Linked DNA regions of Caenorhabditis elegans. The protein of the gene in region 1 interacts with the protein of each later gene in a pairwise test. Each region holds a gene or a part of one and is shown in the gene's direction. Other genes may lie near its edges.

The links. The genes of interacting proteins can lie anywhere in the genome.
Region 2: the proteins of flh-2 (region 1) and sdz-12 interact in a two-hybrid assay, tested with the Caenorhabditis elegans proteins (one large-scale study listed by BioGRID).
Region 3: the proteins of flh-2 (region 1) and nhr-21 interact in a two-hybrid assay, tested with the Caenorhabditis elegans proteins (one large-scale study listed by BioGRID).

What each region holds. Positions count from the first base shown.
Region 1 is NC_003281.10:4,948,099-4,957,031, forward strand, and holds flh-2 (FLYWCH transcription factor 2), read left to right. Parts: upstream 1-4,025; 5' UTR 4,026-4,034; coding exon 4,035-4,268; intron 4,269-4,394; coding exon 4,395-4,856; intron 4,857-5,310; coding exon 5,311-5,586; intron 5,587-5,762; coding exon 5,763-5,990; intron 5,991-6,074; coding exon 6,075-6,176; intron 6,177-6,422; coding exon 6,423-6,533; 3' UTR 6,534-7,073; downstream 7,074-8,933. Other genes in the region: C26E6.1 (Protein kinase domain-containing protein), read left to right, coding at 8,793-8,933. UniProt on the Caenorhabditis elegans protein: Probable transcription factor. May bind to the promoters of target genes, including micro-RNA genes, in order to repress expression, and acting redundantly with flh-1 and flh-3.
Region 2 is NC_003280.10:3,728,372-3,735,697, reverse strand, and holds sdz-12 (Zinc finger protein sdz-12), read left to right. Parts: upstream 1-3,874; 5' UTR 3,875-4,149; coding exon 4,150-4,266; intron 4,267-4,389; coding exon 4,390-4,446; intron 4,447-4,510; coding exon 4,511-4,651; intron 4,652-4,707; coding exon 4,708-4,926; intron 4,927-4,969; coding exon 4,970-5,149; intron 5,150-5,216; coding exon 5,217-5,315; intron 5,316-5,366; coding exon 5,367-5,546; downstream 5,547-7,326. Other genes in the region: bath-31 (BTB domain-containing protein), read right to left, coding at 2,621-2,740, 2,783-2,934, 2,979-3,514, 3,560-3,672. UniProt on the Caenorhabditis elegans protein: Together with ehn-3, may play a role in gonadogenesis.
Region 3 is NC_003280.10:7,335,254-7,343,508, forward strand, and holds the start of nhr-21 (NR LBD domain-containing protein), read left to right. Parts: upstream 1-3,975; 5' UTR 3,976-4,009; coding exon 4,010-4,025; intron 4,026-8,255.

The sequences.
Region 1 (8,933 bases):
TTTTTCACTGCGAGACCCATCCGAATAAACCGTGCACCTTTAAGCACGTATCTGCGAAATTACTAAAATCGGAGCCCGCATCTGAATCCAAAATATTTTTTGCCGGAGCATGTCAATTTAATAACATTTGAAAATCGAAAGTTACAATCGTCAGTCAAAAAACAACGCGAGTTCCGTCCTAAAAATGATTTTCCGAAAAAAGAAAGACACGGCTCCATCTTTTCAAAATCCATTTACAAAGTGCACATGCTCTTTGGCGCCACACAGGTCATTCTTCTTCTTTTTCAATAATGTGGTTTGTGAGCTGGAATCATCTTTTTATGGTGCATCGAAGAAAGTTGAAAAATCCACCTTTTTGGCAATTTTTTGAGGCATTTTGAGATTTCCAGAGGAGCTCGAAAAAAGTGAAATTGTATAATTTTTTTGCTGGGATTACGGTACTTTTGAAGAATTAGAACAAATACCGTACCTTGTTTCAACTTTTTTCTCTCGAAAAATTGGAATCTCATAGCGAGCCGAGTACTTCACTAACTGTAAGGTGTTTTTATTGTTTATTCTGTGGTATTATGTGATTTTTCCTTCACCGTCTCTTTCACTATTTCTATCTATGTATCATCACCATTCCCTCTCTCCGTTCTCCTCTTTCTCCTTCTTTCCGCGTGGCCTTCCGCGTCGCCCGCGCTGTGCGCATACACCCCTCCTTTCTCTGTCATCTCTCTTTTCTAAACACTATCTAGATTACTGCTGCCCCCCGTTCGGTGCCGCCTCCGCCCGCACTGCCGCCATACTCCCGAGAAGACGCGGTCTGACCCTTTATTCCCGCGTCCCCCCGTCCCTTTTCGCTACAATCGATACGTGGTGGGACCCTCTTCGTTTTTCAGTTTTTTTCATTATTTCTGTAGGATTGAACGTTATGAACACTTTTTTTAGCAACATAATATTACGGATGACCTATTTCTCAATTTTTGCACAACCTGCACAGTTTCAAAAAAAGGTTAAGTTAGCTCAAAAGCTGATTTCTTTTTTTTATAGCTGTAGGACCTAGAACGTGTGCCACACCCAAAAGCTCAGTTTCAGCAGTTTGTTTTCAAATTGGTGGTCTAAATAGATTTATAATAATCCATTGTCACCGAGCACCATAATAAAATACTCCAAATACTTTTTTAAAAAGATTTTTCAAAATTTCCAAAAAAATTAGGAATTTTTGTTTCACAACTTTTAAAAACAAATTTTAAAAAAATCGTATTGTTTTTTTAAATACTTTACATTTAATTTTGGAGGTTAATTTCCAACGGATCTAGATCAAAGTTGGGAGAGCAAGCTGGAATAGTATAATACTCGTAGAATAATTTTTTGAGTCTTTAAAACCTCCAATTGTCTTTCCCTCTTTTCGCTTAAAATGGCTGCCTATATACCTATAGGGTAGGCCTATTGGTTTCCTATGCCTGCTAGTAATACTTGAATCATTTTCCATTTACCTGTTAAACTTGCAAGAATTTTGAAATTCGTAGATCCAGATAAGTGCAAACATGGAGTTGACGCCAGAAAGCAGAAAGTAGGCGGTAGGCAGGCAGGTCAGCAGACAGGCATGAAGAGTACTAAAGCCTACTATAACTTACTAAACAAGCCGTAACCCGTAGGTTGAAATTTTTGACAATTTGATAAAAACTATATACCCTCTATGAGATGAGGTAAAAGGTGTACTGTAATTAGAGGATCGAGAAGTAAATTTAATGTTTCGAAATGCACAATTTAGTGAGTTTAGGTATTTTGACCATTTCCACAAAACTCTGAAATTTTGATAGCTCACAAAAATGATGTCTTTTAGCTTTAATCCGTTGGTGCCTAAAGATTAAAATTAAAATGATGTAACCAAGATAGGAATATTATTTTCAAGCTGAAATTTCTATCTGAGCCCTGTAAAACTGCTCCAAGAGATCTTTTTTGCAGACTTCTGTGATTTTAATAGACGAAGAGAAGTAGGCGAAAATTCCGAAAGCTTTAAGGAAATACATTTTTGAATCTGAAATTTTTTTGACTTCACTTGCGCGAGCAATAGATTCAAAAAACTTAGAACTTTAAAAAAAAAAATGAAAGTCTTCAAAAAATCTATCTTTTTTGGAGCCTGATGTTACATTGTCTTACTTTTCTTGTAAACTTGAAAAATCTAGATCTATAACCACTAAATTCAGTGAATATTTTCATTTTTCCCATCCATCACCTTTGTTTTTTGCCGTACTAGGTGGTGATGGTGACACGGGAATATGGAGAAAAAAGAGGCGTAGAAGAAGAAGAAGAAGCGGTGACGATAATAGGTACGTTGGTCTAAAGAAAAAGAGAGAAAGAGCTTGTTTGGGTGGTCTTCTTTTCTTTTTTTTCTGCTTCTACTCTCGCTCCCCCGTCCTTCTCTCACTCCACCACGAGCGCCTCTATTTTGACTGGCGCCGCGTCGGTCATCTGACTGCTTCTCTCTTTTTTTCATTCTTTTTCTCTTTTTCTCTCTATCCATCTTTTTTCGGCGCGCGCTTCTCCTGGCGCTTCTCGTGGGCTCTGGGAGTCAGGTCCCTTCTGCTTTTTGGCTCCGCTTCAACGGAGTCATTGAGCTCACGAAAAGGGCATTCCAAGTTGGTATTTTTTGGTTTAATATTTATATTTTCTAAAAATTTAATTATATTGTTATTCATATAGTTTTTTGTAAGCTTAAAAAATGATTGTTTTCGTTAGTATCTAACCACATTGTAATAATTGAATATTTAATTGTTTTTTCCGGTCAGGACTTTACATATTATTCATGTTAAGCTAACTTTACAGATAATCATAAGTTTATGAAATTAACAAGAAAAACCGCAAGTCTTGTACAATACTTTCGCAAGTTTAAGGGTCTGCAGACCGGCCTGGGCTTATGATTGCTCTTAGGATTAGGCTCAGGCTCAGGCTCAGGCTCAGGCTCAGGCTCAGGCTCAGGCTCATGATGAGGCCTAGGCTTAGGCTTAGTTCGTTTTTTTTCAGATTGTCTTGATTTCTTAAAATTCGCGTCATTAGACGAAATTCCCGCTAGGTATAGGCCGCCTCCGACTGCGTTTTTACTTTTTTGACCAATCTACCATCTAATTCTAGGGTTCTTTCATTATCTCTGTCACTTTTTCATTAAATTTGTATCTTTCAAAAGTGATGAATAACTGAGTTAAACCAACACAGCATGGCGCCAATAAATCGTCCGTCGCCGCGTCCTCCTCCCTCTCTCCTCCGCCGCGGCCGCTTCCCGACGCCATTCCGCATATATTTAGTGGATTCTACTGATGTGGAGCCAATGGAAACCGGGAGAGGGGAGAGGCTCCAAACCGGCGGACGGACCCCTGCTGCGACCAGCTGGCGCCTGGCGCGACCATTTTGTTCCCCCTCACTGCATCGTTTACTACTAGTGCAGTCTCTGTCAAAAGAGCACACTCTCTTCCATTTTTTATGTTTACAACAACTCGAAGAGGGCAATCTTAAACTATTCATTGGAATTTTGGAAAACATCGGAACATTATCTAAATATTTTTAAGAAGTCTACGAATTTTGAACTTTTTGAAAAAAAGCAATCTAGCAAAATATTTTCAACTAAATAACTTTTTATCATATGTTGAGGAGGTTTAGAAAGATTGAAAGCACTACAATTAGAGGTGAATTGGAATGTCCTTGTTTGCTCTCTGATTAAAAAAAATACAAGTTCTAGTAAAATAGTTTTGTAGATCCCAATCCAAACCAGAGAAAACTCATGATCTCACAATTTTGGAATAACCCTATCATATTTTTTCAATTCTCCGATGGTACCACTTCCTTTTCTTCTATTGCACCTAAATATTAATATTCCCTTTACTTTTGTTTTTTGTTCACCTTAATCGCAATTGTCACTTAATTCCTCTATTAGTACGCTTCTTGCATCTCTTGGATTTGTTATTCAAATGTTCTAAAACAATTGAGACATACCGTGTAGATAGTTTTGAATTCATCGTATTTTCCATTAATTTTCCTCTTTTCAGACCGCCTGTATGGTGGACACCATGATGAACACAAATACAGATGGTGTCACAGCGGTTCCTCCGATCTTTCCACTACCGTCGACGACACCAAACAGAAATAATAATAATGAACTGGCGATGTTGGCACAGAAGCAAATAGTCGCCGGATTACTGTTACAACAACCAACGATTGTGCAGGCAGCGGTGAATGGAACCAATTCGCAAAAACATTTGGCAGATATTGACTATACGAATGTTATTCAGGTGAGAGATGGGCTCTTTGTGGTTTTGACTCCTTGATTAATATATTGAGTTATAGATGTGAAATTGATTCTCTTGAAAGACTTTTTAGATATTCATGTTCGAGTAAGTCTATCTGTTATTTTTCAGACTCTTCAAGCCCTTGGCACTACAAATCTAAAAGCATTCTCTCTACTTCTTGATCCACAATCCCAAACATCTCAGTTAATATCTGAAGATACACGTCCATCTGCCAGCTCATCACCGTCTTCAACTGCAACTGCAGTATCTAACAGTGGACAATCAAACGCAACATCCACGTCATCATCGTCCACAGAACCCGAATATAAACCGAGAAATGTGCGAGAAAAAGTGTATGCAGATGGATATATCATGTCATTTGATAAGAAATCGTGTTGTGGAACTAAAGAATTTTGGAGATGTGAACGAAAGAATGATTGTAATGCAAGAATGCATTCAGATATCAATACACGAGAAATTGTGAGAAAGTTACATCCACATAATCATGAGAAACCGTCGCCCGAAGAACTTGCATTTTATGAGCAAGATTTCTCTACTCTCCATCCAAATTATTGTCATCCAGTGAAAAGTGTGAGTTTTTTTGAGCTAAAAGATTTATGGTGAATATTCAAAACTTGAAATATTCAAAATAGTTAGAAATAAAAAGTCGAGAAAGAACGAAAATGTATGTACGCCGAAACGTTATATGTATTTCGATTTTTACTAATCGCCCTGCTTGAACTTCCTCTAAAATGATAAATGTTAGACCAATCAGCGATTCGCTCCGCTCATTTTCCAACCAATCAGACGGAGTGGGCGGAGTTTAAAGACGCAGTGGGCGTGGATTTTCATCGCGGGGGGTTACAGGGAAACCAGCCAAAATAAAAAAGTTTTTTTTTAGTTTTCGGTAGATCCTGTAGGCAGGCAGGTAGGCACAACACTTATTGTTAATAAAACATTCGGATTATGTGTAACTGCTAATTTCATGTTTTTTGATTTAAGAATTCCAAAATTTCCCAATCTTTTTTAAATTGAAATCTTTTAGATCAACCGATCCTACATGCAACGAAAACTGAGCCGTGCCTCACATGTATCACAAGCTCTACCAATTGCTCCACAACAAATTAAAGCTGAACCAATGGAAGTTGACACGACAAATCAAACAATTCAAAACTTTCAACAAAACAATAATTTAATGCTTCTCGCCTCAATCAATGCAGCAGCAACTGCGGCTGCAGCTGCAACTTCTGCTGGAATAAGTCCGCCGGTTGTTGGACAGAAAAGAGTATCAACGACTGTGATGCCTATCACTTTGAAATCGGTTTGTTTTTCTTGAATAATTATGCTTTGTTCAAACATCATAAGGTTGGAACTTTTCAAAACTATAGGTTTGAGCCAGAAAAACGGAAATGAACTAAAAAAAATGATACGAATTTCTAAAATTCAGGGCCAAATTCGAAAATTTCGAACAACTTTGGAATTTCTTAATATTTTCAGCAACGCACAACTCCTAAAGAAGAAGAAGATTCATCTCAATTGATGTCACAAGAAGAATTCCGTATCACTTACGAATTGACCAAAAAGCTCATGGAAATGATGAAGCCAAAAACTGAAATTGGAGTTCGATGGCAAGGAGATGAAGGGTCAATTCTTTTGTTCTTATCACATGATAATGGAGCAGAAGAGAATGTCTTCTTTCCGGTGGTTGTCATGAATCGTGATGAGGTAAGTAATATAATTTCTGGAAGCCCGAAAGACTGAAAGCAGAAAACAATCAACAATTATTTCCTAAAAATTTATAATTTTCAGAAATCCCTAATCACTGCGTTAGAAGGATTCACTGGCAAACGTTGCGAAGGAAAACTTGCTCTGTGTTACTCACAGAGGGTTAATGTGCTTGTACATGAAGCGGTAAGCGAATCAATTTTCTAAGACTAGACATGAGCCCTGGTAGAGTTTTGCTACGTGGCGGTGAATATGAGAAAACTCTTCCACTTTTCGAAATTTAGCATTGATTATTTGTATTTGTTGTAGGGGAAGCTCGAAGACCTGTGGGAAAGCTCGAAGATTTTTTCGAAAGTTTGGCAGTTTGTCAAATTTATCCTACAAAAAATCTAAATCAAGTCATTTTTTTCTAAGCATTTCTGAACCTTTCAGCTAATCAGCAATTGGACACACGGAAAACTATTTCTCGTCAACACTGATGCACCGGCTCTCTGGCGTCTAACGCCCGTCGACGCTTTCGGCGAGCCTTTAAACCATGTCTAAGTGATCATTATTCAATTAATCGATAGTTTGGAGTCATGAAATTATAACTTGACCGACTGCAACGTTTCGCTGCACGCTACATTTTATTAGTTGTCATGAACCTATAATATCGAGCTCCCGGAGCAATCATATAATTACAAATTGTAAATTTTTTTTTAAATTTATTCCAGCCATTTTCCCCTCTCAATACCTCTCCCTTATCTTGTCTCTATAATCTTGTCTGTTTCTCAACAAAAAAGCTCGTCGTCAGGTCCCCCATTTCCGGATCTCATTGTGAACTTTTCAGAAAAGTTCGCAAATTTTCATATTCCTTGTCAATTCCAATCTCTATGTCTCCCTTTTATTGTGCTCTTTCCCCCTTATAAAATTACGGAAACCACCCTCTCCAACTCAGGAAAAAACCCCCTTTATATGCTCCTTTTCTTTTGATAAAATGATATCGTTCAACTAACAATTATCCCCTGATCACTTACATCAATAAATTGTTTCTATGAAATAAAAATATATATAAAGTGGACAATTGAACATGAATAAGTAAAAAATGTTGCTATAATGTCACCATTGTGTTCTAGCATTAGTATGTCTAAGTCCATGAAAAATTGAGTACCTAATCGTAGCAAAGAGATGAGAAATAACCAATTTTGTCATCAAGTTCCGAATTCATCAAAAAATATCACAAAAGAGCTCCAACATGCTCCAACAAATACTCATCAAATTTCGTGACATTTTTGTCGAGTTAGAATCTTCAAGAGCCGAATTAATAGATGTTGCTCCTCTAGTAAAAGTGAGTGTTTGTGTTTTATATGACAAAATTAGTGTTTTTTTAATTTTGAAAACTATTCTTACAGCTTGTCGATAAACTCGGAACACGGATGTTCAATTGTTAACTTTTCAGACTGGCGGTCCGCATAATTATGGGCCACCCTGTAGTAAGGGTCGGTCTAGACTCCAATTATACATTATCAAAAATATGTAGAAAGAACATGACGCTCATACAATTGTGGCTGTTACATTGACGATTACATCAAAAACGTTGCTAGGAAACAAATTGAAACGTTTTTTATCTTAAACAATAGAAAACATGTTAGCTAAATATCTGATCGAGACATAATTATTGCTTTAAGTGTGCGAAAATCAAGTTTTACTTGTCAAGATTGTTTTGACCATCTTGCAATTGTTCTTTAGAGATATGAGAGAAATAGTGCAGTTGTAAATTCGATCATTGCAACTGCAACAATCATTATCAAAATTGAATAGTGTTGATATCAAAATACATTGAAGATCCTTGAAAATTGAAGATTACACAGATGTAAGTCATTGATAAAAACTGCTTGGTTTGAAACAATGATTCAAGACTGATGATAGAAATTATTCCGAGAATTTCAGAAAAAGGTATGGCCGGAGAGTACCTTGACAGTAAGTTCGTGACTCAACTAATCGCTCAAAGCTCTATTTCAATTCCTTGGACCATTGCTTGAACCTTCTGAAAATAATATTTGTGGAGGTCAAACCGTACTGAATCATCGTATTCAATCGAGTTGTCAGCATAAGATCTGATACTTGTCTTAGTTTGAGAAGAATGAAAGAATTCATACAAACTTGCACACTCTCGCACGCGCAAAGCTTTTCAATTAACTTCAAACCTACGAAGTACGCACAAAAATGTTATCCTGTAAGCCTTCACGGTGACCTACGGCTGCTGGGAAGGCAGTCATGAGACAGGCACGTACGTCTGAATAGTTGATTTGACATGGAAGCTTATGTCGGTTTCTGTTTTCGTCAGAATGATCAGTTTCGATTTTAACACTTTGCTTTTACACTTTTTTCTCTTTCATTTCCAGCTTCTAATTCGAAAAAATATTTTATTATCGTTTGGGTGAACGTGTTTTCGCTATTTTTCTTGTTGGGTCTCGCCACGATCTCTATCATTTTAGCTTCTAAATAAACTTCAGAAAATCGTACATTTAATGTGGGAATTAAGATTTATCGGGATTTCACACTCTAAAAAGACAGAAATAGCAGTGAGATCCTGGTTTTACCCGCAATTAAAAAAAAGGCATTATTCATCAAAACCTATGGAAATTTTCGAAAAACGTCATCGAAAAAATAATTTCGAAATGTTCTGAATCTATGAATATTTTAAATCATTAAAAAAAAAATTCCACGTAGTTAGTAAAACCTTTTTGAAAGGTAAACTTACGCAGTCTGTGACAAAATTACTTCATTTTTCGCTTAACTTTATCAATAATACAATGGAAAATGAAAGGAGTCGCTTTAAAGCTGGTCCCTCGGGTTAATGCGACATCAAAAAATGGATGCCTTAAGGAGGTGGACAATGCAACGAAAATCAATTCAATATGTGAAAGTGCTCCGAACACAGCAAAGCTTCTGCACTCTTGC
Region 2 (7,326 bases), on another chromosome or scaffold:
TATAACCCCTGAAAACACGTGGAACGCCTAGGATTGTCCTGGAACGTTCGTATTTGCTTCATAAGCCATTTCTCGGCTCCCAATGACTTTCGCAGCACCAAACTTGACCAAAATGATCTTCCCCACCTATGTATTACTATTCAAATAATTGTTGAAAACATTTATTCATATGAACCAAATGGTAAAGGGAGCAACTGCAGTGATTTTCAAAAGGCTTGATTTAACTATGAAAACTAGCGTTTGGAGGAGCAGAGCTGAAGGTTGGTAATACATTTTCGACTAAAAATTACTAAATTAAAGCAAAAAAATAAAAATTATATTATGTGAACATCAAATCTGTGGAAATCCATGGATACATCAAATGCTAGACATCTACAATCACCGATTCAGGTTTTGTCTGTTAGCCTTTAGGTTCTTTGATCATAGAAATATTCAATGAGCAAATTCGCTAAATTTCAGTTGAGTTATAAATACAGCTAGAAAAATCGTCATTCAGAAAGTTATATCTTACTTTCGTCTTTAAAATTTTCGCGTGTTAGCTTGAGAAAAATACTTGCGGCCTCATGAACTTTTCCGAATAAATTTTCGAAGACTTCTAATCAAAATCAAAGCTTCAAGGATATTTGAACCGGATGAGCTAAAATTCTGTACAATAGGAAGTCAAAACCATCAGCTCTGCGCTTCCAAACGCTAGTTTTCATAGTTAAATCAAGCCTTTTGAAAATCACTGCAGTTGCTCTCTTTACCATTTGGTTCATATGAATAAATGTTCTCAACAATTATTTGAATAGTAATACATAGGTGGGGAAGATCATTTTGGTCAAGTTTGGTGCTGCGAAAATCATTGGGAGCCGAGAAATGGCCTCTGAAGCAAATACGAACGTTCCAGGACAATCCTAGGCGTTCCACGTGTTTTCAGGGGTTATATTTATTTTTTAAATGTGAAAATGAAACCGTCTGAACATTTTGGTGTAAAGTTATTCACAAAATAAATTTATTAATTAAGAAGAAAACCCCGATTTTACCGAAAATTGCCAAAAATCAGAGGGGGTGCTATAGAAGTTGGACGGCCATTTTTCCGATATTTTGACCTGATTCCTGTGATTTTTGAGATATCATAATAAAAATTGGGGAGCATAGGTTTTTCAACATTTGCTATCGAACTGCACTAGCACTTTTTCAAAAAATATTTTGAGAAGCTCCAAACCGCCAAATTGGAGGGGGGTGCTATAGAAGTTGGACGCACTGTATAATTATAATTATTTGGTGGCCCTGATAATTTATTTTATTAATAAATTATTAATAACATGTTTTGTTAGCAACTGAGATTTCAATTAAAATAATTATTTGGTCCAGCAAGTTGTCGGCCGCTCTAACTTTTTCCAGGGTGAAGCTGGTAAAAACTTGATAACTGCAAAACTGTAGAGTAGATCAAGAGCACCACTTTGTTAGTTTACAACATTTTCCTGAGCGCAATAGTTCTCGAGTTACACCTATTTGAAAACTCAGCAGCCAAAAACTTCCAACAGTCCTGTAAATCCATTACGCTCATATTGATCTGCTCTATAACAGCTGTGCAGCCGTTTTCAGTTGATATTTTGTGACGTCTGTCTGTTTTCAGTCGATATTTTGTGACGTCTGTCTGCAGAAACTCGAGATCTCAGTTTTCTCAGACAAATCTCGATGGATTGAAAGTTGAAAAGGTCTTGAATAGGGAGTTCACTGGGAACAATAATCTGGCTAAATACCTGCCATGTGTGGAAAAAATCAGTATAGTTGGCGGAAAGTCTGAATCGAAAAATGATTGGACAACATTTCACAACGTTTCTAACCTTGCGATCTTCTTCTCTGTGACTCTTAACGACCTACTATTGATGAACAATCCAGTGATTTCACTCCATGCTACCCCGTTATCCAATTCCAATTTGAAATTATTGATCAAGCTCTGGGTTAAAGGCTTTGAATCCAGACCTTGAACTTTTCATTTTCTACATTTACAATGATTATCCCCACTCTAGCCCAGAGCTACTAATGCCTAATTCAGCCGAGGAATCTGATGTTCATGGCATGCGTGCCTATCGAATTAAAAACATTCATGGAACTTTTTCTATTTGGAGGTTCTGATTTCTTTATTCCATCGTTTTTTCTAATCAACACTACTTCTATTTACGACGACGACGACGAGTTACTGTCAAACACCGTCCGACGATTGAAATCTTCAATTTTTTCCAGTTTTTGAGATTTTTTTCGAGTCTTTCGAATTAAGCTTATTTTCGAAACCTCTAACTTCTTATTTTTCTATGTTTTTGAACTTCACTTTTCAAAACTATATTTTTAAACTCCACAAAATATAACTATGTATATGTCTTATCAAAATACTTTATGAAATGCTAGATAAAAGTTTCTTGAATTCTTGACTTGACTTTTTCTGGTTTGGTCTGGTTCATGATTTGAATTTCTTCTGTAAGTCTTCAAATTTTCTCATCAATATAATATAAAGAAAACGTAAATTTATTTTTTGTACTGGCAAATAAAACTTTACAATTGAAAACAGAGAAAAAATAGTGGCCAAAAATCAGTTATTAGAAAAATGCAATTCATATTTGAAAACGAACAATTTTTAAACTTCAAGAACTCGCTTCAAGACCCGCTTCATCAGGAATGGGCTCATTTCATCAATGTTTCCAGCGATAATTGAGCGGACATCTTGGATGGTTTTGATGGTGTTGCAGCAGTGAATCTGGAAGATAAAATAAGGTTATATTCAGGTGCACGCACTTACCTCTAGTTTCTCCAACTTGTATCTAATTGCCAATTCCAATTTCTTTTTCCCGGACTTCTCGGACTCCTTGTAAAGAAATTTCTCGCATTTCCCAATAACCGCTCTAGAATCGTACATGTCAGCAAGTTGAAGGATTCCTTCGACGGTATTGTCTGAAATTTTTAAATTATTACCAATGTGAGCACTAAAAACTAACCATCAATCGAGTCCTCCAAATAGAGAACTTCCAAAAATGCCTGGAAGGCTTCCGGGTCTATCCCAGAGAGGGTAACCTCTGATTTCTTCGACTCGCCGAAACTGCCAAAGAACAAGGATTTGAAGTAGGAGCACTGCAGAGCGAGATGCTTTCTCAGAACATGAAATCTCTGCTCATCCACTACCAAAACCACATCGGACAGCTCTCCCATAGACTCATTGTCGAACTTCAAAACCGGATCTCTTCCCTTGAACCCAGAAGCGTTCAATATTTGAACATGAACTTTAAAGTGTAGCGCATCTTCAATCACAAAGTTTTTTGCGACTTTCTCCCAATCGGCAAACTGCTTCCATCCCCATGAGTTTTCCTTCGGCTTCTCACTATTGAAATTTACAGTGGCTGTTTTGCAGTGGGGAGATTCATTGGGAGATCTAAGCTTCACTTCAACATTCGCCTGAACTGACCAAATTGTGCCAAGTTGGTCGCAACTAAGATACACCTCAAGTTGATCAGTTCTTCGATTGACATGGAGTTTCCTGGAAATATAAAAATTTAAATAAAAAAAGGAAAGTTAAAAATACCATGGAATATAGTAATATTCTTTAACCTCGCTGCAATAAGTGGTATCCGGCTTGAAGTTGGAGATTGCTTTAATAGTGTAAGTTGACACAAATTCCTTTGTTATAACGAGCATGTCTACTAACCTACTAAATTGCAGAAAAATGACGAATAGGAAGACTTGTAGAGGCAGATTATGAGTGAATAACGCTAGGAGATAATCTTAGTGGATCGATAAAATAATGCATAATGCAGCGTCTCGTTTCCCGGCAAATTTGGCACAGTTGGCAGCTGGTCTTCCAAAAATGTTGTGAATTTTGTTAAAGATTACAATATTCCCCCCAAAGAAGGTGCATCGTCAATGGAGAAATTACTGAAAAAACTGAGATACTGAAAAACTCAATCAGCTCTACAATGTGCAATTACACACATTTCATAAATTCGTCGGCCCCGCTTCTCCAAAAGCCCCAACGTCATATGTGACGCAACTTCTCACAGCTTTCGAGGACACAGTCTTTGAACTTATGTACCTCTTTTTGCAACTACGCAAAAACATTTCTCACTCCCCTTCCTCCCTGCCCTCGGACAATCCGCAGAGATTTCTTCTGTGAAAATGAGTTTGTCATCACTAGACGCCGTATTGTCGCTTATTGCAACCTCTTCCACTTTGGATCAGGATTCTGCTAAGGTGCCCCAGTGTCAAGTTTGCAAAAGAAAGTTCGCGAATCAGGTTAGTTTTTGAAGTGAGCAAAAAAGTGTTGTTAATTTATCTTAATTTTACAAAATTTACTGTACAGCAGATAATCTTCCTTTTTTTGCTAGTTAGTATATAGAGCTCACTACCATTTTTCAGAAAACGCTGAGAACGCACATGAAGCACATTACGTGTAGGCCTGGACGTTCCAATGTGGTGAGTTTTTGAGAAAATGTTTAAGCCACTGAGCTTCTCCTCCTCCAACTATACGTTTTTTCAGGTCAATCACAAATTCAGATGTGAAAATTGTGAGAAACAATTCACCAACAAGCCAAACTTGAAGCGTCATCAAATAACTCACTCTGGTTCAAAATCCAAGAAGTGCAGCACTTGCCAGAGAACATTCTTCAGGGAAGATCAGGCAAGCAGATTTTATTCCATTTTTCCTGTTCAATTCCAGCAATTTGTAATTTTCAGCTTCAAAGGCACCTGCACAACCATCTCAAGGAAAGATCACATTTCGACTGTCCCGTGTTGAACTGTTCAATGCAGTTCGTATTCTATGAGGGCGTTGAAAATCATCTCGTAAACCATCACCACTTTTCATACAGCGAATCGGCTCCGTGTGGAAAATGCCACAAGTTATTCGGGAGTCCTAGGCATCTCCTGGTACACTACCATTTTGATCATAAAGAGGTGAAAAGCTTTATAATTCTTTAAGACTTAACAATCCTTTCAGGCTCTGCGCTCTTCGGCTCCTGCTCCCACAAGCTCCGCCAGACTGTCACCTATCACCGTATCAACTTCAGGAAGTCCCAGAGCTCAGTTGGCAATCTCGCCACAAGAGAAGCCGCCTCAAAAATTGAGCATAAATCTAGGAACTTCCCCGATGATCGAAGAATTCTGTGAACAGAACTCGGTATGTTTTCATTTTCAATATTGGTTTTGGTGCCGTTCTTTGAAACCATTAGACTTGAAATTTTCAGGCAACTCTTCCAAACACTGATCAACAGCTCTCACCAACTCTAAGCCCCAATGAGCCAAGGTTTAGAAATCTAATTACCAGTGAGCCAACCCCAAGCTTTGTAAGTTCTTAAGTTTCAAAGTACACTTTCATCAACTCAAAAGCTCTTCAGGAATGCAAGCACTGCACGATCAAGTTCCACGATGCCACAATGAGCATCATGCATAACGCCCTTCACGCGCCAGGAAGCCCATTCAAATGTGCAATTTGTGGAGCAGAATGTGGAAATAAGATCGTGTTCACCATGCACATCATCACTGCGAGTCATGATTTTGGTGGCATAGGAACTTAATTGATAAGATTCTACTGCTTAATTAATATTTTTTCTTGTTAAAAGTACTCAATGAATCTCGTTCTCGCCCTTGAAGGAAACTGATAATTGTTGATAACTACGGTAACCTACAGTACCCTATTCTATCGTGATCACTGATTTTATGGAGTAATCAAACAATTAGTTGGTCTTCAGAATACAGGACTGGTAGATCAAACTACGCATAGTTTCTTTTTCTATCTACATCTTCTTCACTCTCCTTCCCATTTGCTCTCTGCCAATACCGCGCGCCAAATCGATAATTGCGCCCCACCAAAACACTCTGCGCGGGTTCATTTATTCCTTCACCTCTACTCTCTTATCAATGGACCTGCCTGAAGCTCAAGCTCTTGTGCCAGTTTATTCTCAGGTACTGTAAAATTTTCACAAATTAATTAATAAAGGATCCATTTTTTTTCAGGAATTGCGCAAGGTGCAACAGTTCAAGTAATTACATTCTCAGAAATCTCTGAGCAATCACATACGGAACACCAAATGTGGACTTGGGCTGTCTTCTTACGAAGACGTTAGTGCTTAATAGATAGCGTTTGGCATCATAATCTATCTATCTCTATCTAACTCTATCTAACTTATCTATTTCAGAGGTACACCTGCGAATTCTGCGGATCGAAATACAATTACCAAAGAAGCCTGGTCAGTCATATGAAAAGTCATCTGGAAACTGAAACTGCCGCTTCTCCAGCTCCTATGCAGACCAACTATCTCACGTGTCCTATTGGTCAGTGCGAGATGAAGTTCAGTTCGCAAAAGATACTTCTCGAACATCTTTTCTGTCGCCACATAGGCCAGGTGCAAGAAGTGTAAAGCTCCGTTCGCCAGTGTTCAAGGACTCCTTGCTCATTTCAAAGAGAAACATTGTGGACTGAAGGTAGAATCAGCGACAACGTCAGCAGACGCCGCGCAGAACACTTTAGGGGAGTTATTGAATGCGATGGGAGCTTCTTTGTCAGCAGAAAGAATAGATGGTGGGCCAAGTCAGGAGCTCAGCAAGGAAACGGATTTGCAGGAAAGCTTGTTCATAGAGTCTTCAGCTTTAGCTTCAGCCAATGGATGGCCACAGCTTTCCGTTGATAGTCAAAGTTCGGGCACCAGTGGTTTCCCAACGAGAAGCAGGCTCTTCGAAGAAAAACCATTGACCTATATCAACATTGATTCTCTTCCCTCGTCTTTTAGCCTCACAACTATGGTAAGAGTTTAAATTGTATATTGAGCAAAATCTTTGGTTTTCAGGTATCTACTCCAGCTCAGTTGCTCAGCTCTTTTCCCGGTGTTGCGACAACGCCAGAAGCTTTTTTTGAAAACTGTGAAGGAAAGTTGTGGAATTCCTTGGAAGCTTCTTTGCCGTTGAAGATCAATGATGGAATGCCAAACCAGGAGTTCGAAAAGCAAGCGGATTCTCAGAAAAACTATGGATCACCACAGCTCAGCGGTGCCACCCTTGATGGTCAAGGCTCAGTGAGTTCAAGGCTCAGTGAGAGAAAGCTCAAGTACGCAAGTGATCTTCCGACAAGCAGTAATGTTTGTGAGCCAGCCAACTCATTGAGCTCGACGAGGCACCAAACTCTCACCGGTTCTAATGGGGTAAGGCCAGTAAGTTTAACTTCATGTAAAGAGCTTCTCCCTCTACAACAAACTTTTTCCAGGTTAATCGCCAATTCAAATGTGAAATCTGTGAGAAACAATTCGCCAACAAGCCAAACTTAAACCGCCATCGAAAAATTCATTCTGGAACAAAATCCAA
Region 3 (8,255 bases), on another chromosome or scaffold:
TTCCGATGGCATCATCATGAATCCAGGGAGGTCTTCCCTTCCGCCTCTTCTCCAGGGCGTGCCATCGTCTTCCATCCGACCGTACCCGTAAACTTGTTCATCCGTTCGTTTCGGGGCGCCCCCTTCTCCTTCCGCTTCCCTCATTTTTTTGTTATGTTTCTCCCCCTCACATCATCATCTTTATTATGTATATTATGTAATTCAGAGTCAGTTATATAATACATAGTGTATTATCACCTACGGCCATTCATCGGCTTTTATTGAATCTGTTGATGTATGTATACGTTTTGGAGATAGCTATCGAAGCGGACGACGATGCGGAAAAAGTGAGCGGAAGAGGTATGGGAAGAAGAATCAGACAAGTTGATGAAAAAGAAGACGTCGTTCTGGAATAATATTACATTGCTATGATTATGTAACTGTGGTTACTGGAGTAAAATATATGAGCATCGGAATAAATGAAACTGGAATCGATGGGTTTTTAAAGTTCATTAAAAAAATGTTCAATTTCAGCAATTTGCGAATTATCATTATTAATTAAGATTCATCCAGAGGCCTGACTCTCATTTCAACAGTTTTCACTTCCATCTGCTGAAGTTCATTGCAGCAATTTTGCAACCCATTTGTTAAATTTATTGCAATATCTGAAAATGCACAGAGATATATTTTGAATGCTCACCAGGTTTTTTTTCAGATTGACGTTTTTAAAATTGTTGCAACGAATTTCCAAGTATATTGCAAGATTTTGCATTAAAAAAAAAGGGTTTGAAAAGGCTTTTATGGTGTCGCATGCTTAGAAAGCTGAAAGATGATCTTAAGTTGAGTTTTCAAATAATTATCCTGGCAATATTGATTAACATTTTTGTGCTTACAGTAGTCCAATCTAATAAGTTTGCGGCGATCCGAGCTTTATGCTCTTTTCTTTAGCTCTTCACACCACTTTTTTAAAAATACCACTGAAAACGTCGTCTAATTTGCCCCAAGCATGTGCCTCCAATGCTATTATATGAATAGAGAACAATTTTTATCGGTTTTCCACGGAAAGATAAAAATGGAAAGAGTGAAGATTATGTCCTCATCAAAAAATGGAAGTCACAAAAAAATATTTAAAGATCAGCATCCAGATGCGACTACACTTCTGTAAATTTTTTACCGAATTTCCAAAAAAATCATCCCAAGAATATTGATTGAGTTTTAAAATTTTCAGAAAAGCAACATAACAAATTGGGTTTATTTTAAATAAAGATCAGATAAATTTTAAATATTCGATTTAACGTCTCTGCTTTCAAATCACACAGGTCTCAACATTAGGCTCAGAATTTGTTTTTTTCTTTCAAATAGTAGCAACTTAAAATAATTTAAAAAATCTAACTTTATAGCATATTGTGTTCTGAAAAGAGAAAACTAAACTCCTCTGAGATTTCTCAGTTTATAAGCCCTATACTTGTTCCCTGAAAACCGTGATTTGTGCCCCCTAGATTTGCATAATCTTGTTATTTGTTATTAGTCGAGAATTACCGAATTTGGTTTATCACTAACGAAAATGTGATAATCCTCAATATTAGTCCATCTTGAGTTCTTAATTTCAAAGTAGTTTACATTGAAGGTGATCTTGTGGAATTATTGTCTTTTTACATTCTACTTACAATTAGTCAAAAAAAGCTCAGAAAAGTAGAGCATGTTTTCAGATTTTCCAGATTTTCCTCCAAAACCAAATCTAAGTATTTTAACGTTATATGACACCTTCTTTTATCTTTGCAATACTTATTCAAAGATCATGCACGGGTTGATTTTTTGGTCTAAAACGTTGTTTTTCTTGTTCCAACTAACAAGACAGGATAGTTCAATCATCTATTGCTACTACATGCATAATTGATTTCCACACATTTATGGGGAAAGAGCGAGAGCCATGAAAATTGTTTTTTCCTTTTTCCTTTTTTCTTCTTCTCACGTTTCATTTTTTTCTCGATATTCTACTTCAACTTGAGCTGGAGTTGAGTAATTTTTGGAGACGACTTCTTTTTCTAAATAAGAGGAAGTTGAAAATTGACTTGAGGGCTTCCAGACGCAGCGAGTCTCGAGAAGTGTGAGAGTATTCCCTTTTTTCCAAAGATCACATTGTCCTTATATTTTAAAGGTCAACAATTAAAACGACGAGTTCATCAAACCAAACCATCGGACGAGAAATCAAAAAAAAATCCCGGTGCAAAAGATAACAACCACGTGACATTGACATGTTAGCTTAGAGTCCTTGAACTGATGTAATAATTAGCTGTTGTTCCGTCCTAAGCCAATTGGCCCCTGATAATCTTCATGACGTGTCAAAAAAGTCATCTGACTGTCCCCAAAAAAGGCGGTCTTCATTCAGAGTGCGTAAGAAAAATGATAAAATAATGTTCCAATTTGTGTCTCCAGTCGCGTTTTTTCCACACCCGCCGTCCGCCACCAGCGAGCAAAGAACATTTCGAGCGCGTGTTTCAATAGTCGTCCCTTTAATGTCTGCGTCTTTTACATTCCAGTACACTATTCATTACGGGTTTCTCTGTCTCTCATCTTCATCTCCATGTACGTGTTTGCACGATTCGGTTCCCGTATACCTTGTAGGACAGGTGTGTGTACCGTGTGAATACTGCCGTACTTATCTTCATGCTTCCTACTTTTACTTTAACACCTATTTGGTATGGTTGTCAAGTTTCAGATTAAGCAGAAAAGTTCACTACGAACATATGTAGTTCTGATTTGACTTTCTGATGACTTTCTGATGAGTTGACCTAAAATATGCACTTTCTTTTAGATTAATCTCGGAGATATACCCAGTTTAGCGAGAAGAAAGAAATTATGGAAAAATGTTGTTGGTCATGGGTCACGAAACATAATAGTTTTCAATATAATAAGATTTACATAACTAAATTTAACCCGAGTTAAAGTAATAAGTCGCCTTTTGCAGTTGGTTTAGAATTTGGGCTCTCGTCTCTGTATTGTCATCCCTAATGGGCTTTCGTTTTTACAGCTTAAAAATTAATTTTTCATGAGTTCTCCCTTAATTTGACTTTTTAATAATTTTTGAAACTACTCAGTATGTTGTATTTCTTTTAATAACAAAAGGTTATATCATTCATGGATTTGCCACCTAAAATTATGATTTTTTTTTGTTTTTTACATAGATGCAACCAGGTTTTGTATTTGGTACTTGCGTAGAACTATTATTATGAAAAGCCTGTATTTATATCTTTGTTTTTGTTGATCAGTTGAGGTAGTTTTCTTATCGGTTAGTTCAAAAAGTTAATGCGACATTTCAAATTTGTGCATATTTTGCTTCCCCCATGACCACAAATAATTTCGGCATTTGTGTAGTGTGTAGTTAGAAAAAGTGATACTGATGTTAAAATTAAATATTTCAGACTTTTCTAGTACGCAATTTTAACTAAAAAATGGTGATTAGATATTTTATACCGATTTCAAAACGTTTTTGATATGCGTAGTTCAGAATTGACTACGGATTTATCGGTTATCTCATTTTTGTTCTTCTCTCAAGTAATATTTTTTGCAGCCAAATTATTATTTTAAGGAAACTGTAAAAATGTAGGTACTTATTGTTAGAGGCTAGAACCACAATGAAAGTAAAGTATGTTTCTGTCTCAAAGATGTTATAGTCTTCAGAACCAACCTCATATGGCAAATTTAAAGCTTGAGTTTATCTACCCAAAAGGTTACCTTTTAAACATTTGAACTTTGAAATCAAACCGGATATTTGATATCATACAATCTAGTTGTTTCCGTGTGTATCAATTTTGTAGGTTGTAGTGTTCGTTAATTGAGAACCAAAATATTCATTTTCGCTTTCATTTTCCTCTTTCTTCCATCATACTTCAATAATTCAAACACGTGTAGTTTGTATGTTTGTTGATAATGTTTTTATTGCCTTTTCTCTCATTAATTACTCCTCCCGTGATATCCAACTGTTTCGTCTTACAGGTGTCCTCTTCACAGAATCAAATCGTCACAAATCATGGGCCCTAGATCAAGTAAGTGATTCCCTTTTCTCCTGCGAATTGTTCATTGCTTCCTTTTCCTATCTTCTTATGTTTTCCTCTTCTTGTTGATTTCTCTATCATATAACATCTTGACCAGACTATATCCATAACTTTATAATCTTTTAAACATACTTTAGCTAACATTGACTTATAGAAATTCAATTGTATTCAATTGATAGAAAACATGAGTTGTGGCTGTGAATAATAAACATTCCAACTTAAAATGTTTTGTTCTTCTCAAGGATTGAATACCAAACTTTAATGTTGCGTACATATCCTGGTGCTTACTAAATTTATATTTTATTCGTATTTTTCCTAATTAAGTTTTTACCAATGTAGCCTTTAATAAAGTTCAAATTAAACCAACAATTTTTCTTTTGTTTCTTTTATCGCAGATAAGCCGGTAAAAATTGGCACCAGCCATAAGCATACAAGTAACTACTTCCTTCTTTTTTCCTTGATAATCTGTTCAATGATCCTACCAACCGAACACATCTTTCATTCAGTGGCTCTTCACACCTTCCCTCCCATTTTCACTTTTTGTTCCGCACAGCCGGTTGTTTCGTTGCTCACCTCCCATTGCTCCATACTCTCACGTCCTCTCTTTTCTATTCTTTAAAGTACAATTGTGTGGAAATGGGTCTGCCACTTGGGCAGTTATGCCCATAGAAACTCCACGGGTCATCTCGACTTTCAAACCTATCTAATTTTCATGATGTCATGAATTACTTCATTTCATTTCATGTCCTCTGTTTTCATATCATTCTTTTATTTCATCCTTTTTCTCTTTTTTGTGATAATAGTTTTGCGTTCATTTTGTTCATTGGTAATTTAGTTTTGCTAATTAACATATTCTGCATCGAATTACTATCCTTATTTCTGTTTTCTGTACTCTTGTTTTTCTGGTCTTATATGACAAGATCATTGAAATAACACGCATTCCTGTCTGCCTCAACGAACTAGAAGAAAAACACATATGAGACCAGGGAGGAAATAAAAATTCTAATCAAAAGCCTAGAGGAGTTTATGACGAAGATGGAAAACATGAAAGAATAAAGAAATTAACTAGAATTTCGAAGAATTTTTTTCTGATATCTTGTCTTTCTACGTTATAATAATCTGCCAAATTCAAACTGCCAAAATGTAAGAAAAAACTATATTTTGAATATTTTAAAACAATATCTTTTGAAATCCATATTTATGCAGTTTCGCCTTTAAATAAATTTACAGTTTTTGATTCATGTATTTTTTTTTTCCTGTTATGACAATTTTGATTTTTGTAAGCAAAACATATTTCTAAATTTTAAATGATTAATATCATCTTAATCGGATTATAAGCACTGATTTCAACCTTATATTTCTATAATCACTTGCGAGATATCAAAAGATCAAAAGGTTTCACATTAGTAAAAATTTTGATAGCTATAATTAAATTGCAGGATTTGCAAGTATTCCTCGACTATAATTATTTTTACCAGCAATGAAGGGTTCCCTATCAAGTGATAGGATTAAATTAAAAACAAAAAAGTAAAAATTGTTCGTTGTTCCCCCTATTCTTCCTCTGTTTATTTCTCTTTTTCCTAGACTCCTCCGCGCGAGCGCAAAATTAATGGGAACAAACAATCGGAACAAAGTTCGTCGCAATGAGAAATGGAAGAGTTGACTGTAGTTTATGCTGCTCGGAACAGATCACAATATGAATGGACAGTAGGAAAAAATGAGCGAGACTCCTCTTTAAAAGTGTGAACAGTTCTTGCACTATTAGCAGCCGAATCATTTTTTGTACATTTCTCTATTCGTGCTGATTGCTTCTCGGCTAATCCATAGATCATACTATATCAGAGATCGCTATATTTTTGAAGAGCACAACTACTACTCTCAGAATGCACCGTCAAAGAGGTAATTGTTATAATTTATAAATTCACAAAATTTTCTAAATTTCAATTCCATGTTTTAAAAAAAGTCCACAGCACAAACTTCAAAAATTTTGAAATAAAGCTTAAGCTTCACTAGTAAGTGTCAAATGAAACTTGATACGGACCACTGCAGTTTTAAAACTTTTGAAAGTCATTTTATACTTTTTCATTTGCACTGGTGGAAAACGAACTTTTGATATCATCTTCCAGCATGTCCTTTAGTTCTTTCTCTGAATAATCTCATTATTATTTAATTTTCCTCGTCTGTGAATAGTTTTTTTTTCAAAAAAAAAACACAATTTTCCAATCATTATTATTCGTTTGAACACCTTCTGGTTTGAAATCTTTTGTTAACTTCAATGGTCACAAAATTTTTGTGACTCTTTTTCTCTAAACTCTCACTGCTCTTTCTTTCTTTGCCTTTTTGCAAGACATTTTTTACATGCCGTGAAATTTTTGTTCTTGGATTGATGTATGTTATTATTATAAAATTTAATAATAGTCGTGCTTAATGACGTAAATCATGTAGTTCCGTTTTGATTTGTTCAATGCTCAAAGGGGGATTTGAACGTGTTGAAACCAAAACTCATTGCTATAAATAAGAAGAAAAAGGCTTTGATCTTTAATTTTGATCAGAATGTTGTGGTTTTCGGGGATTGGCGCTCTACACGATAATATACGATGTGTCCCTGCTACGTGATTTTTTGAACATTTTCGGAGGAAGAAATCTAGAAGTCAGGGTTAATGGCTTTATATTTTATTCTATTCTGATGAGAATTTACAACAAATTGGTTCCTATTTTCTTGAAACATTTGTTTTTTCCAAACTATGCACTTAAAGTAACCACGTGTCAGATCGTGATTAACAAAACAGATGGTAGTGGGAGAAGGCGTCGCGACAGATCAGAAATGGAGATGATTAAAGATCGCACAGATTTTTTATATTTTTGTGATAGAGAGGTCGAAGAGATCAACTGTATGCAGTCAAAATACGCATTTTTATGACAAAAATATTGAGAACAATTCGTTTGTAAAAAATGGAAGAGATCTTTGCTTGTTTATGATGTCACATGTTGAATTGAATTTTATGAAGAGTCTAGACATTCAAAGAAAAAAGGGATTCCCCAAATGACTTCGGCCAACGTTGAATTTAGAAATAGTCATTTCCGCAATAGTGTGTATTTCAAAAGTTTCGATAAATTACCTTATTCCTTTCGATTTTATAATATGCTTCTAATCACTTTTATCAGACCACTAATTTTCAACCAAAATACAGCATGTCAGTTCAGAATTCCAATTTTCGTAAGATTAAAATCTTCTGTCCTGATGTGTCTGGGGGAGTGCCTTTGCCTGCAGATGTCACGTGGAACATTTTTTTGCGGTGCACTTTTCATTCAGACGTCAATGTTTTTTGTTGGAAGTCTGATGAATCTGCCACTACCAATTTTATACTGAGCAGCTCATTAGGTTTAAAATTTGTTCTGGTTTATGCCAATTTATTCATTCATTTTTGTTTTAATTCCTTACATTTCAATTTAATTCTAATTTTATAAATACATGCTATTATATGCTCCAGACTTTCCTCACCTGTCTGTCTTTTGCCAGGTGAACGCCCTGGAAGGTACGGGAGGTACGTCTTAGCTGGGCGTGACACACTACTAGAAATTTTATTTGTTTTTGAGAATTTTCTAGGTGAATGTTCTCTATGTTGTTCATGACATGATTAATTGTTTTATTTAGATCCCATTTGTGATCCAATCACTTGAGTTAGTTTTTGAACCCTTCATCAAACCATCACCTTCTTGAATGATTTTTCTGCCAAAGTACTCATCACATTGATTCGCTCATCGATATAAATGGATGTTCTCTCGATTTTTCCCTCGCGCGCACACGCGAATCTTTTTAACCATTCTCTGAGTGACTATCATACCGTTTACAAATCCGCCCCATGTGACAACTTCACGCCTCCGCCTCCAGAATAATGAGCGTTCTCCGCTCAAAGGACCGTATAAGAGATGCCTTCAAACGGTTCATCGAACCGCTTCTTCTTTTCTTACTGTCATTTCTTCTAGATCATTCAGATTACGCTCAATATCATCAACTCTATTATATGACCATTTTCAAAAAAAAATTTACAAAAACGAAGTAAAACGTGGAAGTGTGAGCATCTGTGTAGACACAGCTTTTCCTAAATAGTACATTGCCTCTGATTTTTGTATTCAAGTGCATCATAGGATTTGTGTCTATTGAAAAATGGCTAATCCTTATGACTATATCACATGTTGTCACTAACAATTTCGATGTGT